Sus scrofa: one gene and its partners. The protein of the gene in region 1 interacts with the protein of each later gene in a pairwise test. Links are inferred from orthologs where the notes say so. Each region holds a gene or a part of one and is shown in the gene's direction. Other genes may lie near its edges. The genes, in order: CEP70, FAM133A, GPATCH4, SUV39H2, BRMS1, NRIP1 and ZCCHC10.

Evidence for each region.
Region 2: the proteins of CEP70 (region 1) and FAM133A interact in binary tests that used the Homo sapiens proteins (3 or more experiments, as listed by UniProt). The two-hybrid records come from large-scale screens. The link is inferred for Sus scrofa from reciprocal best matches to the Homo sapiens genes CEP70 and FAM133A.
Region 3: the proteins of CEP70 (region 1) and GPATCH4 interact in binary tests that used the Homo sapiens proteins (3 or more experiments, as listed by UniProt). The two-hybrid records come from large-scale screens. The link is inferred for Sus scrofa from reciprocal best matches to the Homo sapiens genes CEP70 and GPATCH4.
Region 4: the proteins of CEP70 (region 1) and SUV39H2 interact in a two-hybrid assay, tested with the Homo sapiens proteins (2 studies listed by BioGRID and IntAct). The link is inferred for Sus scrofa from reciprocal best matches to the Homo sapiens genes CEP70 and SUV39H2.
Region 5: the proteins of CEP70 (region 1) and BRMS1 interact in binary tests that used the Homo sapiens proteins (3 or more experiments, as listed by UniProt). The two-hybrid records come from large-scale screens. The link is inferred for Sus scrofa from reciprocal best matches to the Homo sapiens genes CEP70 and BRMS1.
Region 6: the proteins of CEP70 (region 1) and NRIP1 interact in binary tests that used the Homo sapiens proteins (3 or more experiments, as listed by UniProt). The link is inferred for Sus scrofa from reciprocal best matches to the Homo sapiens genes CEP70 and NRIP1.
Region 7: the proteins of CEP70 (region 1) and ZCCHC10 interact in binary tests that used the Homo sapiens proteins (3 or more experiments, as listed by UniProt). The two-hybrid records come from large-scale screens. The link is inferred for Sus scrofa from reciprocal best matches to the Homo sapiens genes CEP70 and ZCCHC10.

Annotation. Positions count from the first base shown.
Region 1 is NC_010455.5:79,310,441-79,313,940, reverse strand, and holds part of CEP70 (centrosomal protein of 70 kDa), read left to right. Parts: intron 1-2,417; coding exon 2,418-2,564; intron 2,565-2,735; coding exon 2,736-2,904; intron 2,905-3,065; coding exon 3,066-3,180; intron 3,181-3,500.
Region 2 is NC_010461.5:76,148,349-76,152,151, forward strand, and holds the start of FAM133A (protein FAM133A), read left to right. Parts: upstream 1-1,500; intron 1,501-1,584; exon of another isoform or gene 1,585-1,608; intron 1,609-1,614; exon of another isoform or gene 1,615-1,705; intron 1,706-1,725; exon of another isoform or gene 1,726-1,856; intron 1,857-1,890; exon of another isoform or gene 1,891-2,083; intron 2,084-2,490; 5' UTR 2,491-2,560; intron 2,561-3,803. Other genes in the region: NAP1L3 (nucleosome assembly protein 1-like 3), read right to left, coding at 1-1,145.
Region 3 is NC_010446.5:93,484,931-93,489,164, forward strand, and holds the start of GPATCH4 (G patch domain-containing protein 4), read left to right. Parts: upstream 1-1,434; 5' UTR 1,435-1,509; intron 1,510-3,425; 5' UTR 3,426-3,485; coding exon 3,486-3,564; intron 3,565-3,975; coding exon 3,976-4,049; intron 4,050-4,163; coding exon 4,164-4,234.
Region 4 is NC_010452.4:46,897,094-46,901,329, reverse strand, and holds the start of SUV39H2 (histone-lysine N-methyltransferase SUV39H2), read left to right. Parts: upstream 1-1,436; 5' UTR 1,437-1,441; coding exon of another isoform or gene 1,442-1,472; intron 1,473-1,680; exon of another isoform or gene 1,681-1,859; intron 1,860-4,236. UniProt on the Homo sapiens protein: Histone methyltransferase that specifically trimethylates 'Lys-9' of histone H3 using monomethylated H3 'Lys-9' as substrate.
Region 5 is NC_010444.4:6,044,734-6,048,876, forward strand, and holds the start of BRMS1 (breast cancer metastasis-suppressor 1), read left to right. Parts: upstream 1-1,343; 5' UTR 1,344-1,494; intron 1,495-4,143. UniProt on the Homo sapiens protein: Transcriptional repressor. Down-regulates transcription activation by NF-kappa-B by promoting the deacetylation of RELA at 'Lys-310'. Promotes HDAC1 binding to promoter regions.
Region 6 is NC_010455.5:179,825,729-179,829,226, reverse strand, and holds part of NRIP1 (nuclear receptor-interacting protein 1), read left to right. Parts: coding exon 1-1,820; 3' UTR 1,821-3,498. UniProt on the Homo sapiens protein: Modulates transcriptional activation by steroid receptors such as NR3C1, NR3C2 and ESR1. Also modulates transcriptional repression by nuclear hormone receptors.
Region 7 is NC_010444.4:135,326,036-135,329,218, forward strand, and holds the end of ZCCHC10 (zinc finger CCHC domain-containing protein 10), read left to right. Parts: intron 1-502; coding exon 503-767; 3' UTR 768-2,683; downstream 2,684-3,183.

The DNA of each region.
Region 1 (3,500 bases):
CTCTTGAAGTCTATGGGCTTCATTAATAGGACTAGCCTTAATTTTTTGTTTGCTTATTAAAAAGGCTTAGTTTATCTCAAACTTGAATCTTGCTACTTATTCATCTTTGCCTCCTATAAAGTTCTACCAAACAAGACATTTTTTAGGCCTATTGCCATGTTGAAAATCTGTAGTGGATCCACTTTGTATTTCTTTCTTTTTTTTTTTTTTTTTTTTGTCTTTTTGCCTTTTCTGGGACCGCTCCCACGGCATATGGAGGTTCTCAGGCTAGGGGTCTAATTGGAGCTGTAGCTGCCGGCCTACACCAGAGCCACAGCAACGCAGGATCTGAGCTGCGTCTGTGACCTACACCACAGCTCAGGGCAACGCCAGATCCTTAACCCACTGAGCAAGGCCAGGTATTGAACCCGCAACCTCATGGTTCCTAGTTGGGTTCGTTAACCACTGCACCAAGATGGGAACTCCCCACTTTGTATTTCTAGGCCTTTCCCAGTTCTCCCTCCATCTCCCTCTCTTTGGTATCCCTGTACTACAGATTCTCCTGGCTCTTAGTCCTCTTCACATATGATATCTTATCCTTTATTTCATTTTATTTGAGAATGTTTTCTCTCTCTTCATATTTTAAATTATTTTCCTTCTCTCAAAACTGAGCTTATCTCCACCTCTATATGTTCTCTAGAGCAGATATCTACTATTACGTATACTGTCTATCCATGGAAGATTAACATTTCTTCACTTTACAGAGATATTCTGTATTCTTGATTGTATAACTAGGTTTTTTTTTTCCAGTTTTTGTTAAGTAGTTCATGGATAGGTTAATTGATAAAGGCAGCAGCATTTAATTTCTGCTTATTTAAGTAAAAATATTTTGATATATTGAATCAAATATATTAAAATTAATGTCACCTGTTTCTTGTTACTTATTTTTTTGGCTGCTCCTGTGGCATACAAACATTCCCAGACTTCCATAGCTTCTCAGGTTGTGGCCAGGTATCAAACCTGGTCCACAGCTGTAACCAGAGCCATAGCAGTGACAACACTAGATCCTTAACCCACCAAGCCACAAGGGAACTCCTCTTTTTACTTTTTAAAATGTGGCTACTAGACAATATTACTGTGACATACATTTCTTTTGGACAAAATTGTTCTAAAGGACCAAACAGTGTACCATGTGCATAGTAGATGCTCTATAAATATTTATTGATTGTCTATTCTTAGACTTCCACACTTTTAGGAGCCTTGCTTGTGCAGTTTTAAATAGGACAAAATGGCTAGGCCAAGAAAACTAAGTAGGCTGTCATGAAGATTAAGTAGAATTATTTTAGGCCTCCTCTTGAATTAAAAACTTTCCTGGAGATACATGGATGGATCTTGAAAATATTATCCTAAGTGAAAGAAGCCAGTCACAAAAGGCCACTTACTGTATGATTCTATTTTTTTTTTTTTAAGTAAAATCCTCAGAATAGGTAAATCCATAGAAACAGAAGTAGATTAGTCGTTACCCAGGGGCTGGGAACAGAAGAGAATAGCTGCTCATGGATACAGGGTTTTTTCTCTTTTTTTTTTTGGAGTGATGGAAATGTTCCAGAATTAGTTACTGGTGATGGTTGCACATCTCTGTAAATAAGTAAAAACTGCTGAATTGAACCCTTAAAGAGGATGAATTTTATGGTATGTGAATTACATCTCAATTAATCTGTTATTTAAAAAAAATCAAGGACATGGGTATTCCCACTGTGGTGCAGTGGGTTAATGATCCAGCCTGTCTCTGTGGCATTGCCGGTTCAATCTCCAGCTTAGAGCAGTGGGTTAAGGATACATCATTGCCACAGCTGTAGTGCAGGCTGAAATGTGGCTTGGATTTGATCCCTGGCCTGGGAGCATCCATAGGCCATGGGTGCATCCAAAAAAGGGAAAAATAAATAAATAAATATCGAGCACAGAATAGAAAGCATAAGCTTATTTTTTGTCAATAATTCAGAATAATTAAATATCTGCTACTAATAAATAACATGTAATTGCTTTAAGCATCTGGATTCTAAACTGGTAATGGTGGAGTTCCTGCTGTGGTGTAATGGGTTGAGAATTTGACTGCAGCAGCTCAGGTCGGTGCAGAAATGTGAGTTCAATCCCTGGCCTGGTGCAGTGGGTCAGAGGAGCTGGTGCTGCCAGAGCTGCCATGTAGGCTGCAGCTATGGCTTGGATTCAGTCCTTGGCTCAGGAACGTCTCTATGCCACAGGTGCAGCCATCTAAACAAAACAAAACAAAACAAGACAAACCTGGTAATGGTACTTAAAAAACAACAACAACTGATGATGGTTTATATATATAAAACCTGCCTGGATAATTATATTTCATTAGTGTTATTATGGAAACTTTAAAAATCAATAATAGCATATCTTTTTTTTTTATGAAGGATTTGTATAAGTCCTTGAAAATACTATCAGCAGAACTGATGCCTTGGCATAATTTAAAGAAGCAGGATGAAAATGAAGGTATCAAAGTTGAAGATCTGTTGTTTATGGTAGATACCATGTTAGAAGAACTTGAAAATAAAGAAAAGGTAAAACTTATATAAATGTTCACATTTTAATGTACTGTTATCTTGGAAACTGATAATAATGAGAAAGATACTCTATTAGACCTCTGTTTCTCTTTTTAAAGTTTTTATTAAAGATTTGGAATAATTTAAAGATGTAAGCTATCTTTCTTTTTTTTCTTCTCTTTTGGGCAGGACAGTAATATGCCAGACTTTCAAATTTTGCAAGCAATTGTTTCTCACTTCCAAAAATTATTTGATGTGCCTTCTTTAACTGGAGTGTATCCAAGAATGAATGAAGTTTATACTAGGCTTGGAGAAATGAACAATGCTGTGAGAAACCTCCAAGAACTCTTAGAACTAGGTGATGACCTTTTGTCATTCTTGGCCCCCTAAGAATTATTATTAATAAATCAAGAAAAAGTAGGTTAAAAAATTGAGGCTATTTGAAGCATAAAATATTTGATTTAATGATTTTAAAAATTCTTTTTAAAAATATTCTATCCTTTTATTTCTCTTTTGCAGATAGTTCATCCTCATTGTGTGTACTGGTGAGCACAGTTGGAAAATTGTGTAGGCTGATTAATGAAGATGTGACTGAAAAGGTTATGCAGGTATTGGGACCTGAAGACCTCCAAAGGTATTTATTTAAAAAAAAGGTTGCAAAATATCCAGAATATTTGGAGTGGTGAAATTAAAAACTTCATAAATTATTTACCTTTCCTTTTGGAGCAGCATTTTTTAAGTAACTTGACAATCTAAAATAATCTCAAGACCTTTGTGATGGGGGGAATGTCAGGTGTTTTCAAGATAAAAATAGATTCTAGGGCCTGTAAGTTTACATTGGGTGGGTCAGGACTCCAGCATTATTGCTATAAGCTTGTTCCCAAGGGAAATTTTATATATATATATGGAGAAATTCAAACCTTGTTAGCAACTTCATGAGCACAGAATATATGA
Region 2 (3,803 bases), on another chromosome or scaffold:
CTCCAATCTATCTTACAGCCTTTGCAATCTTGGATTTCCCAGCCCCAGGAGAAGAAGGGATCATTGTGATCTGGCTTTGACTTTATTATATATGTCTTGGTCAGCACCTCATTTCTGAAGTATGGATTGGGTAGGAAGCAAAACTCAAATGTGTAACTTATAGGCCGGCCAGGTTTTGAGAACTTCAGGCTAACATCTGACAGGAACTTCAGAATGGGCTCATCATACTTCTGAATCATGGGTCCCAGCTTGTCAACATTCTTTAAGACAGTCAGCCAATAGTCGGGAATGCCTTTAGGATCTTCTCTTTTAGGCTTTCCTTTGCGAGCTCTTTTCAGAGCCCTTTCTTTAGGCCTGACCTCAGGAATTCTTTTAGGAGCTTCTTTTACAGCAACCCTGGCCTTAGTCGCCTCTGTTGCTTTAGGCTGCTCTCTGTCTTCTGCCTTTGCTTGGGGGGCTTCTTTTGGATCTTCCTTTACTTCAGGCTTGGCCTCCAGAGCATCTTTAGACTCTGCTCTTTCTTCAGCCTTTGCCTCGGGATTTTCTTTAGGGGCTGCATTTTCTTCAGCCTTGACCTCAGGTTTTGGTTTTGGGTCCTCTTCTTCCTCACCCTCTAAGGCAGGCATTTCACTAGGGCCCTCTTCCTGCACTTCCTCATCACTGCTAAACACCTCATCCTCCGAATTCCATTCACATTCTTCCTCCGTGGGCTCATATTCTGCATTGATGATTTGGAATCGCCGATCATACAGAGGCCTATTGAGTTCGGCATATTTTCTTTCGAGCTCGTGAATTGCCTTTAAGAACAGGGCGTCTACCTTGTCACATTCATCTTGAATATTTCTGAGCGCCTGCACACGATTTCTAACTGCCCGAGGCAGCTGATCCACGAAACTTCTACCCGACGGAGCCCGCCGCGCCCTTCTGGAAGGCCCAGGTACCCTCTTCTTTCTATAGAAACGGCTGCGGCTATTGCTGCTGCTGCTGCTACTGCTGCTGCTGCAACTAGTGCTGCTGCTAGAGCTGCTGCTGCTGCTGCTGCTGTCAGATTCTTCCCCAGAATCGCTAGACGAGCTAGCCACCATCTCTTCATCCACCCCCTGGGCCGCAGCTCCCGAGACCCTGTTAGGATCCGCTTCTGCCATTCTGCAAGCCTGCAAACCGCTTAGCGTGGTGACTACCGCGCGCACAGAGATGGGCCGAAAATGACTCACGGATGCTTGGGTGGCAGCGGTGGAGGTCGGGGCAGCGGCGAAGGCAGCAGGAGTGCAGGGCGGGGTGGGGCTGGGCTGAAGCCGCGGAGGCGGCAGCGACACTGGAGGCCTGAGCAAGAGCGGCAGAGGTAAGGGCTCTCCCGGCTGCAGCTGCTGCGGACCGAGGCGTGCCTCAGCCGAATGGCGCAGTGCGAGACCCCGAGATCTCTTCACTACTAAGATATTGAACCCCCCCCTCCCCTAGCCGTCAGACCTCCCGTTAATTTCGTTCCCAGTGTGCCCTTTAGCTCTCACCTCATTTGCTAGGCATGCTTGATCGACAAACCCTCAGGCCAATGAGTAGCCAAAAGCACCGCCCCCTCCAGACTCCGCCCACCTTCCCAGACGCTCCTAGGTAGCTAAGGCTCATACCCCAGGAAGACGTTTTTCCCCCTCAAAATTTTATCCTTATAGTTTTATAATTCAAAAAAAAAAAAAAGCTTAGCTATGAGGTAAAAATACTAGTCATGGTTTCTAACAAGGGAAGAGGAGTATCCTTCTCCCATCTGCCCTTCATTAATTCCCGTTTGGTTTGTCAGGGGCCTCGTGACAAAAATCTGTTTTTTAAAAATTGGATGAAAATACTCCAAATGACATCTTTGGGTAGTGTGCTTGTGGATGATTTTTTAATTCTCTTTCTTCTATCTAGATGTTCTATGAGCATGTATTTTTACACTGGGGGGAAAAGAGGGAGTCGTTTATTGGCAAAGCGGGGAGGGGCTAGAAAGCAGGCATATTGCCTTCCACGTAACAGTTTTAATAAGTGCTGTCTGTGGTGTTTGGCAAGCCTGGTTTATATCCATCTACAAGGTTTGCGAACCCATGTTGCCGTGAGTCAGTTACACCATTTTTTACTATATTTCTCCTTTTAATTTGGCGTGTAATAAACCCCAACCTTGCTGCTGATTTGCCACGTAGTCCTTCTCAATGCTTGTAACAACCTTGTAGATAAAATAAGAGGGCATTCAAATGTTAGGTAGTATTTTTTAAAAGCAGACGCTTTGTTCTATACTTTCATGCAGCACTTTTCCATTCCAGGAATAGCAGGATGGGAGGGGGAGTCTGTGCTGATGAAACTGCATCCTCTGTCAGGGTATACTTTACAATGTCATCTGCCACCAGTTTCCTTCTAAAATTGTAAAATGCTAGCCATACTAAAGTATGATTTACAAATCCAGTAATATGTGAATAAACTTGCAAAATGAAGTTTAAAAACAGCTGTTATTTTTATTTGCAGGATTCTTTTCTGCCACAGAACAACTCCCTTGGTACAACCAAAAAGACCCGTGTTTACTTTTCATTAAAAGGTAAGGAACATATTTAGCCCATTTTTATGAATGACAAGAATTACCTATATATATTTGAATAAAAATTCACGACAGAGTCTTTTAAAGACTTAATTGGAAGATAGTTCTATGTAAGCAGAAAAATCCACAGAGGTGATTTAGAATATTAATGAGGAAAATAACCTAATTAATGACATTCACTTTCTAAACCTGCTCATAGAAAGCAAGTAGCAAATTAAAACATAACATCTGATGAATTATTCATTTCAAATGAGGAAAAATATTAAAGTAAGATTAATCTTTATGTTGCTTCTTTATTATAGGATTTGTGCTTAGTCATTTAGTCATGTATTTATAAATTAAGAAACACTTTTATTTTCTATTTTGTAAATGAATTTAGTTTTATTGTTTATTCCTGATTGTCAAAGTATGTAAGCATTGTAAGGGAAAATACAATATAGAAAATTAAAATAATAATAGAAATACACAATTTTAATCAAATGATAACTATTGTTAGCATTTTGATGCATTTCCTTCTGGAATTTTCTTTGTACATGTACATGCCTGCCTATTTATATATACTGTTTCATCTTGTGAACTTATGTTTTGTAACCTGTGCATTTATCAGTTAATTGTGGCTATACTTTCATAGAAACCGATCAATATTTTATTTTAAAATAGATGCATATTTCATGGAAATATTTGCCTTAATTTACTTAACCAGATTCCTCTTGTAGGGCAGTTACTCCCTGCACCATCTTTCCACTAACGTACATTTTCCTGTTGTTAAAAAAGTTAACCCTGGATACCTGCTATATGAACTTGTAAAAACTAGTCATCTGATGAATTCCTAGAAATGGAAGTGCTAGAATGAGTTGTATTCTCATTTTACTCTTTGACACATATTGCCAAGCTTCTCTCCAGAAAAAATGATCACAATTTAAAATCCCAACAATAATGCATGAGTTTATTTAGCCATTCAACTAATATATTTTTGTGCCTGCCACGTGCCAGGCACGTGTGGTAGAGGATAATGATATAATGCTGAATAAAACTTAATGGGTGCATATCCTCTCATTCTATAATTTTCATTAAAATATATACTATGGAAGGTATGATTTAAATCAATGAAATTATGCTATAAATATTGTTCTACAAATTATTATTTTTTTAAATGATGGACATATTTTGTTAATGCTTTATATTTTTATAGTACTTTAATGATTTCATATATATGTTAAATTTTATACTATCAAGAATCAGC
Region 3 (4,234 bases), on another chromosome or scaffold:
TGGTGGCTCCCAGGCTAGGGTTCACATCAGAGCTATAGCTGCCAGCCTACAGCACAGCCATAGCAAGGCAGGATCCAAGCTGTGTCTGCAACCTACACCACAGCTCATGGCAACGCCAGGTCCATAACCAGGGATCCAACCCATGTCCTCATGGATACTAGTCGGGTTAGTTTGTTCTGCATCACAACAGAGAAACTCCCACAAGTAGCATATTTTGAAAGTAAAATTAGGAGTTCCCGTTGTGGAACAGCGGAAATGAATCTGACTAGGAACCATGAGGTTGTGCTTAGATCCCTGGCCTTGCTCAGTGGGTTAAGGATCTGGCGTTGCCTTGAGCTGTGGTGTAGGCTGCAGATACTGCTCGAATCCTGTGTTGCTGTGGCTGGGGCATGGGCTGGCAGCTACAGCTCTGATTAGACCTCTAGCCTTGGAACCTCCATATGCCCTGGGTGCAGCCCTAAAAAAACAAAAAAAAAACCAAAAAAAAAAAAAGGACCAAAGAAAAAAAAAAGTAAAATTAGTTTTTATGGAAAAAAATCTTATGGGGATGAGGGAGTATGAAAGACTGAGCAATTATTACAAGGTTTTACTAGGAAATAGCCTTTGAAGTTCTGGGGGGGGTGGAGGTGGGGCAGGAGCACTAAGTTACTGTGAATTAATGAAAACGAGGGATTCTTCTTTTCAGATTTTATTCTTGGGTGGCTTAGTTAAGCCTTGGAACAGTCTGTGGTAATGAGAGCGTGTGCAGCCTCTCTTGTTGATTTCCTGGCAGTAGGTTCTTTCCCTCCTCTGATCAAGGGATCCTCATACTTGACAAGGCAAGTCCAAACACCTCAGCCTGGTATGGATTCCAGGATCCTGCCTCTCTTTTCAGTCCCACTCGTGGTCCCAACTTTGCTTGGGCTATACTAGGTGCTCCCCGAAGTTAGGGCTCGAGTCTTATGCATCTTTGAATCACTGGTACCAAAGGGGCAGGTCCTGGCATACGGTGGTGAGTCAAAACGTGATAAACCTACTGAAACTTCTCTTCTCTAGGATTTTATAAATAACTGTTTTCCCACAGGCTGAGTATTCATCCCCCCAAACCACCTCAGAGGTACTACCTCCTCTGCCTCTACGAACCTCTCAGGCCACTCTCGGTGCTTCCCCCTAAAGTTTTCCTTCCTCCTATTTGTGTCTGGGACGAGACGGTGTCAGACGGAAGGATCAGGATCCCAAGTGAGCCGGTTAGGGGTGAAGTCCCGTGGCCGCTCAGGGCCTACAGGGAAGAAGCAGGACACCTCCCAAATCTCTAGAACTGGGCGCGCTCTGGGGCTGAGTTTCTATGACAACCATACAAGTACGTGGGCCACGCAAAAGTACTTTCCGGAGGACCACGGCGACTTTGCTTCCCGCGAGCATCTCTATGGTTTCCACCGCCTAGAAGGACTGAAACGCACTTCCGGGAAGATGGCGGCGCGCAAGATGTCGCTGGCATGTGTTTTTGCGGAGAGGACCTTGCAAATGACGGTAAGGAGCTGTAGTCCCCCAGACGGTGGCTGTCGGAGCCCGGGCTCAGAAGCAAATGTGAGAGCAGGAAAGTAGTTTCACCAAAGCGAAACTGCGGTAGGAGGGCTAGAATTTAGATCTCAAGAGGAAGGAGGTCTAGGGAAACGGTAGCTGGCTGTTTGGATCTGCTCTAAAAATTGTGGACCTGGGCCCCTTCTCCAGAAAACTCAGGTTAACTGGAGAGAAAACAGTTCCTGAACGTGCAGTCGCTGCCTTCACAAAGACTGCGGCGCAGAGCCTGGGATCTAGTTGCTTTTGTCCACAGTTATCCATTCTGTTAAGGCAGTTTCCACCTGTGTCCTTCAGTTCAGCGAATAACGACGGAACGCATTCTCTGTTCTCGGAGCTGCATTAGAAGCACCGGGGTTGGGGAGTAAAACCAGGGCATATAGTTTCGAATTACTGTGAAGAGGGACAAGCTGTGGTAAAGTCCTACAGTGTAAAGCACTAATGGCTGTCAGACTGAGGACCCTAGTGATTAAGAATGTCAGTTCTGGGATGCCTGAGATCTTAAATCTGCTACTTACCAGCTGTTTCATTTGGACAAGTAATGAAACGTCTCAATGCCTTTTCCTCATTTGGAAATGAAGGTAAAAATGCCTCCTCATAGGGTTGTTGAAATGAGGTAATGTGTGTGAAGCTGGCATTGAATGAATGCTGAAATGTTAGTTGTTGTTGAATCTGCGGCCTGATGGAAATAACTTCTGAGAAGAGGCAGAGCCTCGAGGTGGCCTTAAAGACCTCAGTGTTTGAACTTGAATTCTCTTGCAGTATCAAGAAGCAAGATAGGGCCATTTCTTCACTCAGTGTTTTTCTGTTGGGACTCTCAAGATCTCATTTAGGTTTTCAGGTAACCATCCTTCACAGTAGAAATATGAACAGACATGTGAGTCATCCTAAATTTGCTCCTCTTCCTATCTAACCAGACTGGTCATCATTCTTAGGCCTAATACGGAATATTTGGGAGGAGTGACTTAACGATGTGTCTGATTTCCCCCCACCCCCCCAAACTAGGATACTTCCTAGACCTTCTTAAACACAAATGAAAGTTTTGGCCTTTGGAGTTGTCATTTGGGGAGGCTAGAGGATTACTCCAGTAGTGCCATTAATTGGCTTTAAAAATGGTCTGCAATGCTTGTAATAAATGATCTTAACACAACTTCATTTAAGTGACTCAGGTCAGCAGTGATAGTCTTTAGTTTTTGTTTCTTGTTTCTGTTTTCCTTTTTCAGCCACAGCTGTGGCATATGGAAGTTCCCTGGGCCAGGAACAGAATCTGAGCTGCAACTGCAACCTATGTCACAGCTGTGGCAAGCCAGATCCTTAATCCACTGTGTCAGGCCAGAGTCTTCTGCCAAGAGTGCGGACCTAAAAAGACAAAAAAAAAAAAAAGCCCTAGCACAGCCTGGCATGTAGTGAGATCTCCATAAATTTAGGTGTTATTATTAATACTAATCCTCCTTGATTTTCAACATGATGATATTAACCTCTCTGTGGTCAGACAGGGAGCACTCAAGGACCAGGCCTCCTTCCTCTGTTTCTGCTTCCAGGAAGAATTTTTTTTTTTCAGGGCTGCACCCACGGCATGTGGAGGTTCCCAGGTTAGCGGTCTAATCGGAGCTACAATTGCCGGCCTACACCACAGCCACAGCAACGCAGCATCCGAGCTGTGTCTGCACCCATACACCACAGCTCATGGCAATGCCAGATCCTTAACCCACTGAGCGAGGCCAGGGATCAAACCTGCAACCTCATGGTCCCTAGTCGGATTTGTTTCTGCTGCATGGCAATGGAAACTCTGCAAGAAAGAATTCTTATAAGAGCAGTCAGGATGGATTTTTTGCAGGATTTGAGCACTTTTTCCTTTCCTCTTAAAGGGATGACTGTGAACTCCTCTTCTCTGGTGAGGGGCTGAGGACAGTGACTCTTTTCTCACCATGAGTGTCACCCCAGAGGTCAAGAGTCGTGGGATGAAGTTTGCTGAGGAGCAGCTGCTAAAGCATGGATGGACTCAAGGTGATCCCCACAGGCCCCTTCCACGTACCCCCAAGCCTCTGCCTGGGGAAGAGGGATCCTTCTGGGTTAACCCTATGTAGTCCTTTCAACTGCAGGAGGAAAAGTTAGTTTAAAGGGAAATTTGTGAAGAAAGTTGCTGGCTTTTCCAGAAAAGGAAAGAATGGGAGAAAGAAGTGGGAGGACTGGGAGGGGGAGGAAGAAACATGACCTCTGTCCTGAAAGAATTATGAAGGAAGGATAGTTCAGGCTGGAAGACAGGAGGGCTGCATGGAGAGGTGCTGGAAAGAATGAAACTGGGAGGGCTTCTGAGAGCGCGGGGGCTTTCCTAGTGCCAGGTGTGTGGATGGCAAGGATCCGCCATGTGCTGGGGTGAGGGCTTGGGGTGTTCAAATCATTCACTGTCTTCCGTAGGCAAAGGCCTGGGCCGGAAGGAGAACGGTATCACCCAGGCCCTCAGGGTGACACTGAAGCAGGACACTCATGGGGTAAGCCTGGGCTGGCTGGGGGAGGTCAGTGCAGATGGGAGAGGGGGGTCTTGAGGCCAGGGGAGGGACGGGAATAACACGTCCTGGGTTCATTCATACTTCGTCCTCCGGCAGGTGGGACACGACCCTGCCAAGGAGTTCACAAACCACTGGTGGAATGAGCTCTTCAACAAGACAGCAGCCAG
Region 4 (4,236 bases), on another chromosome or scaffold:
TATCTTCCTACACATTTTCTTACGCAGTTGAAACTGTATTTTATAGCTCTTTCTTTTGCTTGATATATTAAACACTTCACCATGATAGCAAAGTCCTCATAAACATGTTTTATTGACTAGATAGTATTTAATAACATAATCAAACAAATTAATTCCTTTAATGTTCTGCGTTTATTTCCAACATTTCAAACATAAAGGCTGCTTTGAACTAATTTTGTGTTTTACTTAAATTTCTTTTAAAAATCGTTGGTAGACATTAAACAGCTTTCTGCGGAACTTTCGCAATTTACTAGTCTCAGATTTCCGCATCAGATCGTGCAGTACAATTACCATGGACGCAGTGTGTAGAATGGACGGGGGCGGGGTGGGAGTGGAGACCAGTTAGGTCCTAGCAAAGGACCTGTAGGACTTGGCATCTTACAGCCTACCCACAGGCATGGGGCGTAGCCTGGGGGCTCGTCATAAACGCGGAACCTCAGGTTCCAACCCAGACATACCTGATTCGAATCTGCATTTTAACGAGATGCCCAGGGAATTCCCATTACGGCTCAGCGGGTTACTAACCCAACCAGTATTCATGAGGATGTGGTTCAATCCCTGGCCTGCTCAGTGAGTAAAGGATCCCTGTTGCTGCGAAATGTGCTGTAGCTGGAGCTCCGACTTGAGCCCTAGCCTGGGAACTTCCATATGCCCCAGGTGTGGCCCTAAAAAAAGGCAAAACAAACAAAAACACCAGGATGTTCAGATGATTCCTGTACCCATTCGAGTGTGAGAAGCACTGTTCTAGACCAGAGGTTTCAAATTCCACATTTAGAATCACCTGGGGACCTCTAAAAACTCCAATGTTCCGGGTACACCTTTTGCCTATTAAATTTCTGCGAATGGAACCAAAAAAACCCCAAACCTCCAAGGAATCCCAACGTGCAGCCAATTTTGAGAAACTGTGATCTGGAGGAGTAGCCTGGAAGGAAACGTAACAGTGGCTAGTAGGGCTCAGGTGGCTAAGGAACAGGTACGGGAAGGAAACGTACTCTGCACTTTGTAGCTCCGCTCTGCGTTTGAAATTTTGCACGGTGTGTATCAGTAGCACCATGGAAAAGAACTAACAACTGTAGGAAAGCCTGTGGTAAGTGCCTTGAATTAGGCGCTAAACTAGGCAGATCAGGGCAGGTGGCCGCTGACCCAGCCCTACACTCCGGTATTCCGGCCACGGGCTGCTCTCCGGCCAGTTTGCCCCGCCCCTCCGCACACGGGGAGACAACGTGGGGCGCAGGCGCGCTGGCTGTCCCAGACAAGTCGGCCTCGGCTGACGTCAGGACGCCTCGCGGGTTCTAGCCCCCCGCCCCGGCCCCCGAGTCCCGCGCGGGCCGGGCGGGGGCGGGGCGTCGGCCAGCTGAGCTATCCCGTCCGACCGCGCCAGTTTGAATGAAAGCTCCTCAAGATGGCGGCGGCCGGGGCCGAGGCGCGAGGAGGTGAGGGCTGGAGAGCGGCGCCCCGCACTGTCCCCCGTCCTCCAGGCAAACTCCCGAGGCCGGGGAAGCGGGGCCGGGACGCGCGGGCGGGCCGGAGCGCGACGGGACAGGAAGCCTCCTGCCGCGCGGCTGACGCGGCGGCCCCTACACGCGCGCCGCGGGCCCCTCCCTGCCCCGGGCCCCTGACCCTCCTCGCGGCTCGGCCCGCCCGCGGCCCGCAGTCTCCTCCCGCGCCCGGCCCCCGCGAGGCCAGGCCCGCACGCCCCGCTGCCGGCTCGCGGACTCGGCGGTCTGGGTCCCGCTGCCGTTCGGGCCCGAGATGGGCCCCGGCCCGGCCGCGGTGCGGAGGCGTTCGAACGGCTCCGGCGGATCCCTGCGCGGCTCGAGGTCCGTGGGCACACGGGGGGCTCGACTCCTTTGTGCTGCTTTGAGCGGGACGGTTCGCGGTCCGGGCCGGTTTTTGAACTGGGGAGCGGGAGGCCTCCGGTGGTGTAGGTGTGACCTCAGTATCCGAGGAGAGGAGTAGTCGGGGCGGAGGTGTGGAGGCTGAGAAAGGAAAGAAGTGAGGGTACACCCCATTTTGGACTTACTGGGGGGCTTCCGCTCCCAGTTGGGAACATCCCAGGAAGTGGGTCTCGGAGGTTGTGGCCTCCGGCTCATGGGGAAGAGTTCTCCCCGGCGGGAGCTTGCGTGGGAATTAATGAGGTGGACGCCAAGGAGCTCGGTGCTGAACGTGTATTTGTGCGCGCGCTGAAAGACTGGAACTTTCAATGCCTTCTGGAACCTGAAAGGTGTTTCCAGCACTGCGCTTCTCGGCATAGATCGTGGACTCACTGCCCCCCAGCGTGTCTGCCACTAGGGGTTAGTGTGAACTCAAGTTTTGGGGGTGGTCGCGAAACGTTTAATCTTATAAAGGAGTTCTTTCCCTATCTTATTAGAGGCGATCCGAATTGTTACCAGGAGTTTGCAGGTTTTTTAGGTTCCAGTCGTTCTCAAACATAGCATTTCTGTCGAGGCTTGTGTCTTGAATCTGCATAGTACTCCGACTAGATAACAATGGTAGGAACAGCAGACAAACATACCTTGGGTAGATAATCCAGAGGAAGGTCCTTTGCATGCCATCAGCATAAGGAGGTTATCTTGACGCAAAACTTCCTGAAGCTTTTTCAGTGAAAGGATTTAAAGGGTCGTTTCTGTTCTGCCAAATTCCCCTACGTCCAAGCCAACACTCCAAAACAAGCACACTCTTAGCCCTAAATTTTGAAGAGAACAATTCCTTTCACTTTCTTGGTCTGGAATTACGAACCCTACTTCACGGTTCCTGACGGTGAGGTGCCTGTGTGAGTTGGGGAGGGTGAGGACGTAGTAAGAACAGCTGTGTTCTCTCTTCCCTGGAAATTACTTCAAAACAAAAGGTTATCACAACTACCTTGGAGAGCTACCAAGTAAAGCTTGCGTTTACTGATGGATTTTGTTTGGTAATCCCAGTTTACTCCAACCCTCACTCCTTTCTTCCCCCCCCCCCCCCCGCAGTGAATCTGAAACCTAGAAACAGAGAAACTTCTCTAAAGCCAGCCTCAGGGAATCTGGGGCAAAACCCCCTGATCCTCCCTAGTGCTTCTCATAGTCTCATAGCCATAAAACCAAGTTTATGACATCAATTTGTGTTAACATTTTAGGTGCAGTGGGTAGCATGCTATTTACAGGAATTTGAGGGTAAAATCTTCCTCAGCACAGTTAGTTTCTAGCTTCCATTCGTTTCTAGCATACTCTTGATTATGAGTATGTCTGCTTTTCTTCAAGCTTGGTGTATGGATTATTTAAATTGATACTCTGTATTGTCATTCTCGGCTTTAAAAACAATACAGGAATTGAATATTAGAAAACTCAATATACTGTCCATTATTTTATTATAATTCTTGGGCTTATTTACCTTGATAATAATATATTGCAGCCTGGGCAAAACTGGAGTTAAAACTTCATGCAGCCTTCCAAAGTGGGGAAAGTAGGCCATATGATGTATGAGTAACTAAAGAATTATATTTCAATTAGGTTTTATTTCTTATTGTTCAGCTAGGAGAAAGGGGGAACGTTACTTTTAACAATAGACGATAATTTTAAAATATATTTAAGATGTATTTATAGTGATGATTAGTATGTCCTTGAGATCTACATTTTTATTAAAACAGCACTTCTCTGTAGAATACAATGGAAAAGTAAAAAATATCTCTACCTTTGCATTTATATGTAATTTAAAAAAAATTTATTGGTGCTTAGTTGACTTACAATGTTGTGTTAGTTTCAGGTGTACAGCAAGTGAATCAGTCATAAATAGAGCCATTCTTTTTTCCCATTAAGGTTATTACAAACCATTGAGTAGATTTTCCTGTGCTATACAGTAGATTCTCATTAATCATCTGTTTTCTACAGTAGTGTGTGTATGTTACTCCCACCCTCCCAATTCTTCCCTTCCCCCCAATGGTTTCACCTATAGTAACCTTAAGATTGGTTTTGAAATCTGTGAGTTTGTTTCTGTTTTATAAATTAAGTTCTTTTGTGTCATTTTTTAATTAGATTCCACATATAATGCATGTAATTTTATGAAAGCTTACAGACATGAAACATTTTGTTCAGGTGGCCTAGTAGAAACTAATTGACATCAACTAAACATGTTAGGGTAGAGACCCATGAGAAAATCCAAGAAGACCGATTTACCAAAATAGTTCTTTAATGGTTAACTTTTTCTTAAAGACATGTAAATGAT
Region 5 (4,143 bases), on another chromosome or scaffold:
GGGCAGGAGGGATGGTGAAATCAGGGAGCTGTGGGTGGCCCTGGATGGAAAGGAGCCAGTGAGGCAGGAGGGATCATAGTTTAGGAGGTGGCTGGATGGCTGAAAGATCCAGGATGCCTCCAGAGGAATGGGCATGCTGGAGTGAGCAGTGATGTCCGTCTCTGGCCTGGGAACCTCATCAAACTTTGCTGACCTATTTCTCCCTCCACAGGCTTGTGAGTTGCACGTGGCAGGATTCGATTTTGAGGTGCTGAACGAAGGTTTCCTGGTTCATAAAGGCTTCAAAGAAGCTTTGAAATTCCACCCCCAAAAGGAGGCCGAAAATCAGCACAATAAGATCCTTTACCGTCAGTTCAAGCAGGAGTTGAAGGCCAAGTACCCCGACTCCCCACGTCACTGCTGAGCCCTTCCTTCCCCTAGTCTGAGAAGTCTCAGCCTCCTCCCTCCTTAGGCCGCCCCTCAGGCCTGACTGGGGTAAGAAACGTCACTCCACTTTACAGTGGTAGCTGTGGTGTTTGAACACTGGACTTGAATATGGGGTGCTGGGATCAAGTCCTAGCTTAACCACTAACTAGCTGTGTGGCCTTGAGCAAATCCCGTTCTCTCTCTGAGCCTCAGTTACCCCGTCTGTAAAAGGGAGGTGAGAATACCTACCTCACAGAACTGCTGGGAGGCTCAGATGAGATGCTATATGTGAAAACATTCTGTAAGCTTCGTACAAATGTGAAGTATTATTAATATTATTACAGTATTATTATTGTTGTTATTATTATTGTTATTATTATTAACAATCTTGGGTGGGTGAGCAGTAGGAGAGCAAAAAGTATGAATGGGGGCAGAGCTGAGAAGTCTGAGTAGTTAACAAAATGGGCTTTTTGGAAAGAAATCAGATGAAGGCGTTGAATTTAGTTCTTAGCTTTTGGGCAGAAGCCGAAACTTCCTGGTGTCTTAGGCCTCCGTCCCGGGGGCTCTAGAGAAGGGAAGGATCTGCAGGTTCTGTGCGTCTGAGATCTGTACCCTTGAATAGCCTGGGCTGGGTGATTTGCCTACCGACTACAATGTGTAAATAAATGAGTGTTCACACCTACAGCTGGCTCCATTACTCTCCGGAACCGGGCGGGGGTGGGGGCCGCGGGTCGCAGGTTCTCCCCTTTCGCGCCGCCGGGAGGTGACTGTGGACCCAGACGCGAGGGCTGCAAAGCTAGGAAGGCACAAGGGCCTTTCCTGCATGCTGAAAGCCTGTGTGAATGTCGGTCCGTTGCCATGGAAACCGTCCCGCGGTATCCCAGCATGCCTCGCCCCAGCTATCCAATTGTGAGCACTCCGATGGGCGCCTCCTGATGACGCATGCGGAAAGCGCGGGTAGGCCCCGCCCCCGGAGAAGAGGGACCGGTGCGGCGCTTCCGGGACCCCCACAGCGGCAGCCAGTACCGATAACCTCCGGCACCTCTTGGGGAATCTAAGACGTGAGGCTGGAAGCGCCACTACCTACGGGTGCGTAACGCCAACCCTGGCGCCTGGTTTGCCCTTTCGGACAGGCAGTCGGAGCCTGCCCAATATCCAGGGCGGTAGCGAGACTTAACCGCCCGGACGCGAGCTGGGGCCGCGGGACCGAGGAGCCAGTGACTCTCCCGCCCGCTCCGCCGCGTACGGAGATGGAGCGGGGCGCGAGGCTCTGGGTGCGCCGTGGAGGGACTGGGTCGGCTTCTTCGAGGGTGGGGAAGAATCTTCCTTCCTACGAGGCGTGCCCTTGACATGCTCGCTTTCTGAAAAGATAAATTGCATGTGCACAGCACCTTATAGTTTGCTTTTCGATCCCTTACCTCTTGCCATCTTTACAACACCCAGAGTAGTGATGGTTATCCTCATTTTGTACCCGGGCTAAAGTGGGGAGGATGTGATTTAATTTGGCTCTCTCAGTAGACCCAGAGACTGGTGGAGAGAGACCTCCCCCCAAGCCCCGCCCTCTCTGGTCCAGAAAGGTGGGACTTACCCCGAGTTGTTAAAATATATTTAACAGTGAAGAGAAATTGCAAAGTTTGGGAACTCCAGGAACTGAGGCTTGAAAAAGGGAAAGAGGAGGCTGATTTGGAGAACCGAGGTTTTCAGCTCAGGTTCAGATCATTTGTGAAATCCTTGAGGAATGCTTTGAAACGGCCCTCTAGGCCAGTCAGTTTACTCAAACTGATGTCAAGGAAAGGTGACAAAACACTTTGGGTTTGCTACCACTGTAGGGACCAGGGGCTACTAAGAAAGCCATTTCCTGCCCTGCAAAAATGTGTTTTGTTTAATTTGCATTCGCAAATCCTCCAGTGGTCTAGTGAGTCAGTACTGCGCGGGGTGGGTAAAGCGCGTGTGCAGCCCTGCCCTGGGGAGGCTCACAGACAGGCATGAGGATGGGCAACAGACGTGGAAATAAATAAGGAGGGGCATCTACGCGGATCTGAAGGACTACAAAGTACCCAGAGGAAAACATCCGGTGAAGTAGAAACCCCTTTAGTCAGAAATGATCTATTGAGACTGTTTAGTCTTCCTCTTGGGCGATCTTTTGGCAGCATTTGGCACTGTCTCATCTCCTTCATTCTGAAATTCTCTCTCTCCCCCTATACTCTGACTTTTTCCTCCTCTGTCTCTTGCTAATTTCCTTCTCCTTTCCTGGCATCTTGTCATCTGCCCCTTTGATGACCCTAGAAGTTCCATCATGAACTCCTTCTCACTCCACACATTCTGCCTTGCTGGTTGCACCCTCTCCCAAGGCCTGAAGAACTCACGATGTGATGACCAGATCTCTGCAGCCCACATTTCTCTGTGAGGCTTAGACCCATGGACCCCCAGCCCTGCCCCCTTCTCTCCTCTTGGGGTGTTTGCACCTGCTACTCACTCTACTTAGAATGCACCCTCTCTTGACCAGCTCAGCTCATCTGTCTGGCCCATCTTCCTCTGCAGGCCCTCACTGCTGCAGCAGGCTCCAGGTCCCAGTTAGATGCCTCTCCCGTAAGCCCCTGGTCTTAACTCTTCTCACCCCACAGCAACAGTCTGTTTCTTAGCCTTTCTGTCCCAGGAACTTGTAAACTCCTTGAGGTCAGAGACTGTCGCACCTGTGCCCAGCTCCTACCATAGTGTCTGCTGCTACCTAGCATGTATTAGATCTTCAGTAAATATTAAATGAGTGACTAAAAGAAGGAATGCTTAAGACTGTTCAGTTTGCTGAGAAGTCAACCTAAGATAAGCACCAAAAAATACTGGCATTAGGTACGAGGAGTTCGTCAGTTAACTCTACAGGATGGGCTTCAGCTGAGAGTGATGATACAGGAACAGAACAAGTGGGAGGTGGGCGAGTAGGAATAGCAAGTGTCCACAAGGCCTTGAAAAGTAGCCATGAGGTGGAAAACGGCGAGCAGTGGGGTGGGGTGAGGTTTTGTGTTTCTGCTTTCTCTCTCTGGTGGTAGATACCTGAGCACGTCTGACGTTCTCTGGGAGGAGCTGTCAGGAGCGAGAGTTGAAGATGCATAAGGGAGAGGGCAGCACTGAGGACATGAGATCATGAAGGAAGCAGGAGATAGGATTTGAGCCCAGTGAGAACACAAGCATCGTAGAGTGTTCTCAGGAAGAGAAGTGGAGGGCGGTGTAGGCAGAAGAATAGCACAGGAGTTCCCGTCGTGGCGCAGCAGAAAGGAATCTGACTGGGAACCATGAGGTTTCGGGTTCAATCCCTGGTCTCGCTCAGTGGGTTAAGGATCCAGCATTGCCGTGAGCTGTGGTGTAGGTCGCAGACGCAGCTTGGATCTGGCGTTGCTGTAGCTGTGGTGTAGGCCAACGTCTACAGCTCCAATTGGACCCCTGGCCTGGGAATCTCCATATGCTGCGAATATGGCTCTAAAAAGACCAAAAAAAGAAAAAAAGAAAGAAAGAATAGCGCCGTGGGCGTTAGGGCTGGTGGGGAAGTGCGTGGTATATTTGAGAACTGGCCAGCAGATGGTGGGGTGAAGGAGCTGGACCGGTGATTCAAGTCCAGTCTGTGCAGGGCCTTGGAAGCCCGGATCAGAAGTTTGGGCCCAGGAGTTCCCATTGTGGCTCAGCAGTAACAAACCTGACGAGTCTCCATGAGGATGTGGGTTCACTCCCTGGCCTCGTTCAGTGGGT
Region 6 (3,498 bases), about 100 Mb from region 1:
CTCCACCCCTACTTGCATCGGCCAAAGCCGAGTCTCCCATCAACCTTTCCCAGCATTCTTTGGTCATTAGATGGAATTCCCCACCGTATGCCTGTGGCCCTCCGTCTGAAAAGCCAACAAATGCCACCTCCAACCGCTTGATGGACCTTACAAAGAGCAAAGACTTGCAAGGAGAGAAACCAGTCCAAAACGAAGGTGCACAAAACTCTGCCACGTTCAGTGCCAGCAAGCTGTTAAAAAATTTAGCGCAGTGTGGCATGCAGTCTTCCATGTCAGGGGAAGAGCAGAGACCCAGTAAACAGCTGCTAAGCGTCAACACGGATAAACCTACAGGTGTGATGGAGAGACTCGGTAGCCCTCTGCTCGCAAATAAAACAAACCCAGCTGAAGAAAATAAAGCATTCGGCAGCCACTCAGCCGGCCCTGAGCCCGGACTTTCTGGTTCCGAAATAGAAAATCTGCTTGAAAGGCGCACTGTCCTCCAGTTGCTGCTGGGAAACTCCAACAAAGGGAAGATGGAGAAGAAAGAGAAGATTCCCTTAAGGGAGGGAAGTACTCAGGAACATACAGACCGAGCTTTAAGTGAACAAATATTGATGGTGAAAATAAAATCTGAGCCTTGCGACGACTTCCACGCGCACACCCCGGATGTGCACTCGAGCCCCGATGCTCAGGGCGCCCCATTCTTAGGGATGGCTCCTCCCGTGCAGAGAGGCGCAGCTGCCTTACCAGCTCCCGAGGACTTGAAATCGGAGCCCGCTTCACCTCAGGATTTTTCTTTCTCAAAGAACGGTCTGCTAAGTCGCTTGCTGAGACAAAATCAAGAGAGCTACCCGGCTGATGACCTGGACGGCAGTCACAGAAACAGTGAACTGACACTTTTGGAATCAAAGAATCTTTGCATGGTCCCTAAGAAAAGGAAGCTTTATACTGAGCCGTTAGAAAATCCATTTAAAAAGATGAAAAATAACATAGTCGATGCTGCAGGCAGTCACAGTGCTCCGGAGGTGCTGTATGGGTCCTTGCTTAACCAGCAAGAGCTGAAGCTTAGCAGAAATGAGCTTGACTTGAAATACCCTGGCAGTCATAGTTCACCCAGCGAAAGTGAACACAGGAGTTGGGCCAGAGAGAGCAAAAGCTTCAACGTTTTGAAACAGCTGCTTCTCTCAGAAAACTGTGTGAGAGATTTGTCCCAGCATCGGAGTAACTCTGTCGGTGACAGTAAAAAGAAAGGATGCAAAAACAGTGTGACCAACAGCAAGCCTGAATTCAGCATTTCTTCTTTAAATGGACTGATGTACAGTGCCGCTCAGCCCAGCAGTTGCATGGACAGCAGGACATTTCCATACCCAGGAGGAGTCAAAACTCCCCTGAGTCCTCCTTTCCCTGAGCACTTGGGCTGCACAGGGTCCAGACCAGAATCTGGGCTTGTGAACGGGTGTTCCATGCCCAGTGAGAAGAGACCCATTAAGTGGGTTATCACAGACGCGGAAAAGAATGAGTATGAAAAAGACTCTCCAAGACTGACCAAAACTAACCCAATACTGTATTACATGCTCCAGAAAGGAGGCAATTCTGTTACCAGTCGAGAAACACAAGACAAGGACGTTTGGAGGGAGCCTTCCTCTGCTGAAAACATCTCACAGGTTACAATCAAAGAAGAGTTACTCCCTGCTGCAGAAACTAAAGCTTCTTTCTTTAATTTAAGAAGCCCTTATAATAGCCATATGGGAAATAATGCCTCTCGCCCACACAGCGCAAATGGAGAAGTTTATGGACTTCTGGGAAACATGCTAACAATAAAAAAGGAATCAGAATAAAATGTACCTGCCGTCCATCTTTGGATCTTTTTAAAAACTAAATGAGTTTGAACTTGAGATCTGTATAAATAAGCGCATGATTTGAGAAAAGCATGGTATAATTGAAACTTTCTCATTTTGAAAAGTCTTGGTTCCTGGTGATGTTTAAATATGCATACTACTTTTTGCTTTACGTTAGATGTCATGAGGAAGCTGCTGAACTAGCCAGTGGTTGTTTAACACTTTGTATGCATCAGACAACAACTGTGAGTAGCCTATGAATGATATCCTTTTTTTAATCACAGATAACAGGCATACATTAAAATGTAAATCTTCATCCACAGTGGATTAATGCATTGCTGCCTTTATTAGGGTATTTTATTTTGCTTTTCAGAAGTCAGCCTACACAACACATTTTTTTTTAAGGCCAATTTATTAAATAATAACTCTTTAAAGATAATTGTTGAACCTAGTTCAATTAAAAAACCTAGTTCGGATTTATTTCTCAATTCAGTTCAAACATAAATTAGGAAAAATATGCTTACATTTTTCACTTTTGCTAAAGAAAAAATTATTTTTAACTCTTGGAAGGGGTTTTATGATTCCCTAATGTGTCTGCTCCACCCCAGTCCTTTTCAATACACTATATTTCTTTAAACCTTGTACTACTTAGTAAAAAATTGATTACAATTGATGGAAGTTTGATAGATCTTAAAAAAAGGCAGATTTCCATTTTTGTATTTTAACTACTTTACTAAATTAATATTCCTCCTTTTGCAGAATTAGGAGAGTTAGCATTTATCTTCAGGTGGTTTCCTGAATAGTAGAAATAAGTTGTTTTTAACAGAAGCAAAATGGCTTTTCTTTGGACAGTTTTCACCATCTCTTATAAAAGCTACTTCTCACCATTTCTGTGGTACCTGTGAGTCTTGTGACCAGGGTTTCTTAATAAAGCTGGACTCAGACTACCTGCGTTAGAATCATCTGGAGCACTAGTTTTAAAATGCAGATTCCTAGGCAGCATCTCAGATCTACACAGAACAAGAATCTCTGCTAAGTGGACCTGGGAATCTTCCTTCTGCATCTTAACACACTCCCTAGGTGTTTCTTCTGCACTCTGAAATTTGAAAACCATTGCCTGACTTTTCTCAGAACACAGGATTGTAAACAAACTATTTGATGCCTATATTTTCCCCAGTATAGTCACACATCAACTCAAAATTTGCAATATTGTACTTCGTATATTACTGTTATGTCTTTGGAAATCGGGTTCAGAATACTTTTTATGACAAAAAAAAAAATTGGGTGAAGGGGACAACTTTCATACCTGGCTCAACATCTCAGGAAAATCTGTGATTATTTATGTGTTCTAATGAGTAACATCTACTTAATTAGCCTTAGGGATGGACTAACAGGGCCACTTACCAAACTCAGGTGATTCCAGGATGGTTTGGAAACTCCTCCCGAATACATCCTTAACTTCTATTAAAATCCTTGTCCTCAGAACAGTGCTGACAAAGATGAAAACATTTATTTCAAACCCAAGAAAGACACTAAACTCAACTAAACAAACAAATACAGAGGGCACATATACATGACAGAATTATACACAGTCACTCCATCGGATCTGTGATTTTGAAATAGTGATTAAAAATAACCATTGGTTTTTCTTGGAAAAACTTAATATGCTATTGAGCCA
Region 7 (3,183 bases), on another chromosome or scaffold:
GTTTACTGTCATTTCTCCTTTTTCTTCAACTTTCTAGAGTTCTTATACCTGGAAATAGTAAATAATTTCTCTTGGGTTAGATTAAGAAATGTTATTAGAGTAGTAAGAGATAATTGACCAGCTAAATCTGGGATAAAGTAGTTAAGGTTATGAAACATTTACTACTCCACAGGAGGTTTATATAAACCCAGTTGTTAATCTACAACTTTGTTCTAACATCATTCACTCTGGAGCGAAATATAGTAGATACACTTATCTTGAACTCCATCCAAGAGAGTTAAATTGCTGAAGTAAAAGACCTTGTGGTTGAGGGAAGAGGGTGGGCACGATGGGGTTAGTTAGGCAATCCCCAAAGCCTCAGAATAGGGAGAGCATGCTAACAAAGCTACACACACAGACACACAGACACACACACAGACACACACACACACACTATTCATGGGAAATTGCTTTTCGACATTCTATTAAATGTCAGCTTCTCGTGCATATAATTGTCTAATAGGTCTAAGAGTGTGACCAGTTCCAGTAGCAACAGCAGTGACAGTTCAGCCAGTGATTCTTCATCAGAGAGTGAAGAGTCGTCTACCTCTTCCTCCTCAGAGGACAGTGACACTGATGAAAGCTCCTCCAGTTCTTCATCTTCATCCTCCACCAGCTCCTCCTCATCCTCTGATTCAGACTCAGATTCCAGCTCTTCCAGTAGCAGCAGCACCAGCACAGATAGCAGCTCTGAAGATGAACCATCACGGAAGAAGAAAAAGAAATAGAATTGCTCCAACCGTACTGGACTGATGGACTGAAAACTTTAATGTGATTCTCAGAAGGGAATTTAGAATGTGTTAAGGCCAAATAGATTAACTGGTCAAAATTTCTGGAGTCCAAAAGTTTCTAAATGTTTTTCATTGTAAGAACATAAAGAGTATTAGTAATTGATTATATTATAAAGACTTTTTTAAGGGTAAATCTTGTTTTTCTTTTTTATCTTTAAAATATATCTCTAAAATTAATCACAGCTGAAATCCAATAAATTTATGTTTTCTCCCTGTGAAATAAATGCCATACTTTATGATATGTTAGTGCTATGTACCAGCCATGTTTTTTGGATAATGCATCAAAATATCTGACAGTGAATTTTTAAAGCTTTTGGCTGTATGTTATTATGTAAGATTTAATACATTGTTACTATAAGCTTAGGAGTTTTCCTACTGTTAATAAATGTGGTCTATTTTTATGTTTATGTTCAGAAAGTTACTCTGACTTCTTGTCCTAAATTGAAAGTTCAAGGAACCTATTAATAAATTTATACCTTTTGGATGGTACAAATTTCTAGTTACTGTATCATATCATTCATTTTTTTCTGGTTCTTAGAGTTACCCTTTTCCGAGGAAAATTATTCTAGAGGAACTTTTAAAAGGGAACAAAAATTCTTAAACTATATAGGGATCTAATCTTGGTTTTCTGTTGATAAATCCAGTGTATCAAAAAAGAAAACAGTCATTTGAAAAACTAAGTTGAGTTCCCATCCTGGCTTCGTGGGTTATGAACCCAACTAGTGTCCATGAGGATGTGGGATTGATCCCTGGTCTCAATGAGTGGGTTAAGGATCCACTGTTGCCAAGAGCTGTGGTATAGGTCACAAATGCAGCCCTTGGATCCTGAGTTGCTGTGGCTGTGGCATAAACTGGAAGCTACAGCTCCGAAGAAAAGCTAACTTAAGTAAAAGTGATATAAATCCCTTTGTGTGTTAATGTGCTACAAAATACCATTCAGAAGGGGAAAGAGGTAGGAAGAAGAGAGGTAATTTTTACAGAATATTAGAGTAATATTGGTTGCCTTTTACTACAATTTCTTTAAGTTTTCATAGAGATTGCCTTTTACCATTTTGCAATTGTGGTATGACAGTTTTTGTGGTAACTGGTAATAGATGACAGTCTACTGCATAAATGTGAATGATTTGGATTAATCTGTTGCAGTTACATGGTATATAAACAGTTGAAATCTAGTGTGAAAGTTTAAAAAGAAATACTGCACAATATTTCTTAAAAGTGAAATACTCTGTCCTGGTGAAATTATTTGGTTTAACATCAGATTATTTTGCGAGGTCTTTTGAACTTTTTGGAAAGTGGTATCACTTGTAGAAAAATTTTGATTTGGGTTAAATACATTTTTTTAGTATAGTAGATTTATAATGTTCTGTCAATTTCTGCTGTACAGCAGAGTGACCCAGTTATACATTTATACACATCTTTTTTTTTTTTTACATTATCTTCCACCATGCTCCACCACAAGTGATTATAGTTCCCTGTGCTATACAGCAGGAAATAGAGGTTTTTAAAATTACAGATATCTTTTATATTTCTATGAAAAAGTAGTAAAAGATTACTTTTGAAGAAGATGGACTTCTATTTAAATGTTTATGTGTGTTATGAGTTTAAGGATCTGTCATTTCCTGTTTTATCTGCTTTCAGTGATTGTCAATAAACTCTCAAAACATCATTTCAAGGCTCCATACAGATTGTGTCTGTTGACAGGCAAATTTGATAATTTACTAGCGAAGTGCAATTTACAGTGTTTGTAATTTCTGTAAGAGAAATTTTAGCAGTTAAAAAACTTGGAAGGGAAAAATTGTATACATAGGTTATATCACTTGTAATTAAATAAAATTCAGTTTGTGCTGATAAGCTTAAGCTTCTGTTATCCCCTTGCTACTTCATGCCATTTCTTATCCATTTAGATGGTAAGGGCATTTCAATTATAATTATTTTTGCTACTACACCTGTTTAAAGGTTTCCTTGAAAAAGTTCAGAGGACAGGAACTTGAGGCACACAGTTTACTCAGAAAAGCAGAATCAAGGGCGAAGTGGAGGGTACCTTCTAAAGGGAGTCTCCCCGTCTTGCCTAAAAGCAGAACTCTGGAATGTGAGTCTCTGGCAAAAGTAGTAAAGGTATTATTTCTCGACCACAACTATATTAAAAGGAGTCATCAGACTATAGGTTTTCATTCCACAAACGTTAGTGTGACTGTACAATATAGTAAAATCGTGTTGGAATCAGAATAAGGCATTAGGCTATAAGTGAGCTCTGGAAATGGAAAAAAGTACAGAGAAGGTGTACTTTATAGTCACGGTTTTATTCTTTTTTTTTTTTTTTTGGCCCCACCCACAGCATTGGAAGTTTCCGGTC